Cricetulus griseus: one gene and its partner. The protein of the gene in region 1 purifies or fractionates together with the protein of each later gene. This does not show direct contact. Links are inferred from orthologs where the notes say so. Each region holds a gene or a part of one and is shown on either strand. Other genes may lie near its edges.

Region 1 (3,519 bases):
TATCACAAAATGAGAAGTCAGGAGATAGGATAGATATTTGGAAATGCCTGGCATACATTAAACTAGTAGTTTGTTAATTGGGAGTTTATAGTGTATAGATGATCTCTTCTGATAACCCTGTTGACTCCTTCCTGTCAGAGAAAGCTGTGGTGTAGGAGAGGCTTTACTGCACCAAGAGTAGAAACTAGGACCACAGCCTGCCTTCTCAAAAAGCACCTTACACTCAGTAGTGATGCCTATACCCTGCTTTTTACCTTGCAAGACAGGTCCTTGCTTCTCGGTATGAATTTACTATTTCTAAATAGCAGCAAAACCAATGCTTTGACAAAATCAAATGTGTTGATTTTGATAGTGTGGGGATAACTATTTTCATTATCAGTTTACTGTGAAGGGTATATGTTGCTCTCATAGAATAGTCACAACATACAGGAAAGTAACTAGGTTCATGTTTAAGAACTTGGAGACAAACACTGTGGCTGTTGCATTAGAAGAAATTATTTTTGAAATATAACTGAATAATGTTTCCTAAAATGCTGACTTAGCTGTATTATGAAAATTTGCTATGATTTTCATAAATGATTCTGCAATTCTTATTCATAACTTTAAAAGATTAAAATGGTAGTTTATAAGCTGTGAACTAGAATGTCGTTGTTAACAAATAGTTGTTCTTTAAGGATGACCACACTCACTAGCAAATTAAGGCTTGTATCTGGTGGGTTACCCATTAGTGACAGCCTTAACAGAGTCTCAAATTGTCTGGCAAAGCAAGTCTTTGCTTTGTCCTGGCAAACAGATTTCTGTTTATTTTGAAGTAACTGTCCACTTACAGAGAAGTTTTAGGCATAGTGGTAAGTTCCCGAGCCTGCCATTTGACAGTCAGCACTTTGTCCTAGTCATGTTTTCTTACTCTGTCTCACAGACACAGCTGTGTTTGGCCTACTTGTCTGTGTGTGTGTGTGTGTCTGTGTCTGTGTCTGTGTCTGTGTGTGCACATGCCTATGCACATGGGAGCCTGGTGACAGCTTTAGGTGCCACATTCCTTAGATACTGTCCACTTTATGTTTGGAGTCAAGAGTTTCTCTGTGTTTTGGACCTTGCCAAGCTTGCTGGCCAGCTAGCTTCCCTATTGCTTGGACTGCAGGCACCCTGCTATTCTTTTCTTGTGTGGTCTGGCGATCATCTTTAGCCTCTACTGATGCAGGGCAAGCACTGTTGTGACTGAGCTGCCCTGACCTCTATAGTCTCATTGGTTTCCCTTTATACACTAAGATAATGTTTAATGATTAGGATGGTTATGGCAGTCCAAGAAGATGTATCCCAAGTGCCTGGCACATGAGACACTCAATAAACAATATGTTGGTGGTGAATCTGTAACTGGCACATGAGACACTTGGTAAACCATAGTATTGGTGATAGTGTAGTCACAATCATGACCATGATGATGACTTACTTTGAAGTTTATCTACAATTAGTCTAAAGTTTTAAAAATTCTTCTTTCTACTAGAGTTATCCAACTTAGTTATTGAAAAGAGCCTCTGTAGACTTGTTGCTGGTCCTCAGTTTAAGTAGGAAATAACAGTTTTTAACAAGTGAAAATTAAGGCTTCAGTACTATTTTTCTATGATATTAGCCCTCTGTTCTGTTTCAAAGGCTAGGATGTTCATTCAAAAAGTTAAAAACCTAGAAAAAAGGAAGTAAGCTCCTCCCTGCCCACATTCTTCCCTTTCATCCTCTCACTATGTAGCCCAAGCTAACCTGGACTCCATAGCCTCCCAGTGCTGGTTTATAGCTGTGCCTCTGTGTCTGGCTGAAACCACTGCTCTAAACACCTGTCAGTGTTGTGAGCTACAGCTGCTCTGATTTTCTAGCAGTTGCTTTTTTCTTTTAAGTTGATTTCTTTAGCTGGGCTTGGTCAGCTTTGAAAATTCAGTTGTCTTTTTTTGTGTGTGTTCATTTTAGGCTTTTCAGTTTCCATTTGAGACCAAGGTGCCGTCAAGCTCCTTTTAAAAATATATAGCAGTGTGCTGCCAGTCCAGGAGCTGGAGTTCACCCAGTTGCTGCATCTCTCAGAAACTCACACTCCTATCACAAGCAAGATGGTTCTTAATCTATGGTTTCTCCCACAAAGCCTTAGCTCTAAAGTCATGTACTTACTAGCAAACCCTTTACTGTTGCCTACTGCACTGTTCTTTATGAGTCTGATACTCTTTTTTCCTTATGGCTAGTAATAAAGTGAGTTAGTAAGTCCATTAGTTTGAGAATGCTGAGAGTCAAGTTAAGCTCCCACTCTTGGTGACAGAAGACTTTATATGGGGATAAGAGGTCTGCTTTCTGCAAGTTGGAGAATAAATGTTAGCTGATTCACATTGTACCTTAGTTGTCATGCTGTTTGCCTCGTAGATTTGTCTTAGTCATTTGTAGGCAGTCATAAGCATAAGAGACATATATTGTATTCAGTGTACTTTAAAGAGGGCAGCAAAAGCATATTGATGATTTTAGAAACTTTCTACTGAAGTGATTCCTGTGAAGAAAAGAGCTGTTTATATGGAAAAATCCTTCACTGACATATTCCGCTGCCTTTCTTAGTACTCAGTTAAAAAATTGCCACAGTGTGGGTAACATTCATTTTTGCATGCTAGCTTCTTATGGTAGCTACTTAGATGCATGTTACAACACTCATCTTTGTATCCAATTCTCCCAAGGCTTGCATCGAAGCATAAATACAGATATTTTATCTAAGGAAGCAGATGGTGGAAGAAGTCAAGATTTCTCCAACTTTGATGATACTGGGGAAAATAGCTTAGGTGACATGTTCTCACCAGTCAGAGATGGTAAGTGTTCAGGTCAGTGGGTGTGGTGTCTTGGTGCTCTCAGGTGTGGGTCTAAGTCATACAGTGGTTTGTGCATTTTCTCAGTTCCTGAGTGGGATCTTTCCTGTACCCTATATGTGGGAAATTAGCATGCTAATGCAAATGCTGGCTGTTGGACATGGCTCCTAAGATAGTATTTTAATTTCCATAAAGATTGATCCAACCCCTGTCCTGGGGATCCCATCAAGGTCTTCTGTATGTTGGGCAATTGCTGTGTCTGAGCTTAGGTGCCAACAGAATTTCTTAAAGGAGTTTCTACCATTATAAACAATCTTTGACTTGTATCTGCTTCAAATAAACCTCCCTAAAATCTTGGATGCTTGGTATGTAAAAATAAAGATTATTAGTATTTACTTGATAATTTATTCAGTGTTTTCCTGGCTGGGTAATATATTGCCTCTTCTTTTGCACTTGTATATGATAGTTTCATGTGTATATTACATCATCTCTGCCACCACCCTGTAGATGTCACTATTAAAAATAACTGTTGTCACCTTGCTGCATAGACACAGTATGTCATTGTCCAGCTGTGCTTTTTAGTTCTACTGAGGCTCACATTCCTTAATGGAATGGGTTCATTGCTAATAGCAGTATCATCAGTGATCCAGGCAAATATCTAGAGGACAATTTGACAGTTAAATTATTCATA
Region 2 (3,519 bases), on another chromosome or scaffold:
CTTTCCTACATGTGATCATAATTGCCCATTTGGATCCCTCAAGGGCTGGGCAGCTCCCTGCTATGTAGCTTAAATAGTGTTGGTAGTTGTCTTGTCTTTCAGGGGCTCCTTTGTCCTGTAACTTCACGCTAGGGTTTCGGTCCTGTCTTGCTTGTATAAAGCAAATCTTCTCCTTTCTACCAACCCCTTACATGTTGAAAAGTTGATCTTACAGCCTACTGCTTTGTTTGTAAATATTTACTAGTGTTATTCCATCTGTTAGCTTTTCGGTTATTGTTTGGGAGGTTACTTAACAGCTCATTTGTTATCATTGTGAACAAACTTCATCCTTTTGGTGTTCTTTGAAGCACAGGACTAGCCATATAGCTCCAGCACAAAGTAGTACTCTGTCAGTGTATCCTGCAAGGAGGACTATATTCCCAAAGTGGTGTTGTTTGAGACAGGGTCTTGCTGTGTTGCTCAGGCTAGTCTTAAATTCTTGAGCTTAAGGATTCTTCCTACCTCAGTCTCTCAAGTAGCTGGTACTGTAGACATTTCTGTCCCTGTCATCTAAGGAACTTTAATGTAGGGTCTTAAGATGAAGAGCACTACCAGTAATTGGGAGAGAGAATGGAAATACAGATTTGATCATTCACAGGCTTTGGGGTTATGTGCATACCCAGAGATTATTCATATAGAAATCAAGAAGTGGGGCTGGAGAGATGGCTCAGTGGTTAAGAGTACTGGCTGCTTTTCCAAGGGACCCAGATTCGATTCCCAGCACCTACATGGTGGGTGGTTCACAACCATCTGTAATTCCAGTTCCTGGGGAATCTGATCACCCTCCTCTAGCCTCAGCATGTACCAGGTATGCATATGGTACATAGACAGAAGTGCAAAGCAAAACACCATAGATACATAGAAAATAAAATAATAAAATATGCCATACATACACAACACACAAAAATAATCCACTCTGTATGAGTTGTGGCCTGTCCTTGTCCATCCATGACTGGGTACATGACCGCAGGGCATTTGCCTGAGAAACTATTGCAGCTGGGGGAAAACACACTTGTCATTTAAGGTCCATGCTGTCCCATCTATTCATCCTCTTCTCTTCTGTCTTCTTTACAGCCTCCCTGGTCACCGAGAGGAGCCCTACCTCACCGAGGCAGGGAGAGATGCCTTTGACAGGTTCTGCCGGCTATGTCATGGAGAGCTGCGGGCCCTCAGTGGGGGTTTACTCCAGGGCCCCAAGCCTGTGCTGGTGGAAGAAAGTGAGCTGGTGAAAGATTCACTGAATGTTCTGCTTGGTGTCGTTTCTGCTACATTTTCTTTTTGTCAGGTGAGAAGGGCTCCCAGCTATTGTGGGACCAACCTTGTATCCAATAGCCTGTACTCTCCTAGCATGCTCAGCATGCTTAGGGTAGGTTAAGGTCTAGTGTCATGAGTAGAAGAGAAGGCCAGCTCTGTGGGTTGATTAAAGGGGCTGGAGTGATGGCTCAGAGGTTAAGAGCACTGACTGCTCTTCCAGAGGTCCTGAGTTCAATTCCTAGCAACCACATGGTGGCTTACAACCATCCCTTATGAGATCTGGTGCCCTCTTCTGGTGTGTAGATATACATGGAAGCAGAATGATGTATATATAATAAATAAATAAAATCTTAAAAAAAAAAATAGCCACAAGTTAGGCCAGCGACAATTAGGCCAATATATAAGTAAATCAATGTTGGAATTCTTGCCAGCACGTGAGAGGCCCTGGCTTCAGTCCCCAGTACTGTAAAACAAAACAAGCATTCCGATTGGATTTTAAGAGTGTTAACTTATAGTAAGGCATGGTTGTGCATGCCTTTAATCTCAGCACTTGGGAGGCAGAGGCAGGCTGATCTCTGAGTTCAAAGCTAGTCTTGTCTAGAGAGTGAGTTTTAGGACAGTCAGGGCTACACAGAGAAACCCTGTCTTGAAAAACAAAAACAAAAACAAAAAAAAAAATCAAAAAGATTCATTCGTTTATTTTTTTATGTGTATGAGTTTCCTGTCTGCATGCATGTGTGTGCATGTGTACCTGGTACCTATGGGGGTCAGGAGAGGGTATTGGATTTCCCTGGAACTGGAGTTACAGATGGTTGTAAACTGCCATGTGGGTTCTGGGAACCTAATCCAGGTGCTCTGCAAGAGCAGTAAGTGCTCTTAACTGCTGAGCCATCTCTCCAGCCCTATTGGTTTTTTCTTAAACTCTCAAAACACATATGGCAGAATTTACTGGTGTACCCTATTAGGAGTTTGTCTACAGACTCAGTGTTCAACTTCTTGTAAGTAGATTTCTATTTTCTTAAGTCAGTTTTGTTACTTTATATGTTTCTAAGAAATTTTACATTTGATTTGGGCTATCTAATTTGACATGTAATTATTTTTGGTGTATGTTCCTAGGGATGGAACCCAGGGCCTGGCACATGCTAGTCAGTGCTCTACCACTGAGCCACATGCCAGTCTAGATTATTTCTTTTTTAATTGCATTTATTAACTTGGGAGGGGGGACAGGGACAGGGATATGTGTCACAGTGTGCATGTAGAGGCCAGAGAACAGCTTTTGGGAGTTGAATCTTTTCTTCTAACATATGAGTCCTTGAAATCAAACTCAGGTGGGTCAGGCTTGGTGGCAAGCAATTTTACCTGCTGTCTTAATTAGGTTTTCTATTGCTGTGATAAAGCACCATGACCACAAGCAACCTGGGGAGGAAAGGGTTTATTTGGCTTACACTTCCAGGTAATGTAGTGTGTCACTGAAGGAAGTCAGGGCAGGAACCTGGAGGCAAGAACTGAAGCATAAGCCATGGAGGAGTGCTGCTCTTACTAGCTTGCTCTCATGGCCTGCACAGCCTGCTTTCTTGTATCACCTAGGACCACCTGCCCAGGGATGCCACTGCCTTCAGTGACCTGGGCCCTCCCACATTAGTCATCAGTCAAGAAGATGCACCACAGGCTTGCCCACAGGCCAATCAGATGGGAACATTTTCTCAGTTGAGGTTCCCTTTTCAACAATGACCTTTGCCTGTGCCAAGTTGACATAAAAACTAACCAGTACACCTGCTGAGCCATATCACTGGCCCAGATTCTTTCTTGTTGCAATTGTTGTTGGGAGTTTTGTTTGTTTGTTTTGCTGCTGTTGATGAAACAGAGTTTCTCTGTGTGACAGTTCTGGATGTCCTGGAACTCATTTTGTAGACCAGGCTGGCCTCTGCACCTTTCTGAGAGAAGAGTCTCACTATGTAGGACAGGTTGGACTCAAGCTCACCATCTACCTGCTTGCTGGGATTACAGGAATGAGCACAATGTCCAGTTTATAATCTCTGTCTCTCTTGCTAGTTTGGGAAGTTTGAACTGTGTTTCTTTTTTGTTGTTGTTACTGTTTTTTTGTTTTGTTTTTGTTTTTTGGAGACTGGGTTTCTCTGTGTAGCTTTGGAGCCTGTCCTGGAACTTGCTCTATAGAGAGGCTGGCCCTGAACTCACGAAGATCCACCTGCCTCTGCTTCCTGAGTG

The links. Proteins that work in one complex are often made in the same cells at the same time.
Region 2: the proteins of Nedd1 (region 1) and Tubgcp6 purify together in Homo sapiens (affinity purification with mass spectrometry; 3 studies listed by BioGRID and IntAct, with this or other methods). This does not show direct contact. The link is inferred for Cricetulus griseus from reciprocal best matches to the Homo sapiens genes NEDD1 and TUBGCP6.

What each region holds. Positions count from the first base shown.
Region 1 is NW_023276806.1:158,734,527-158,738,045, reverse strand, and holds part of Nedd1 (protein NEDD1), read left to right. Parts: intron 1-2,702; coding exon 2,703-2,831; intron 2,832-3,519. UniProt on the Homo sapiens protein: Required for mitosis progression. Promotes the nucleation of microtubules from the spindle.
Region 2 is NC_048595.1:385,871,236-385,874,754, reverse strand, and holds part of Tubgcp6 (gamma-tubulin complex component 6), read left to right. Parts: intron 1-1,113; coding exon 1,114-1,324; intron 1,325-3,519. UniProt on the Homo sapiens protein: Component of the gamma-tubulin ring complex (gTuRC) which mediates microtubule nucleation.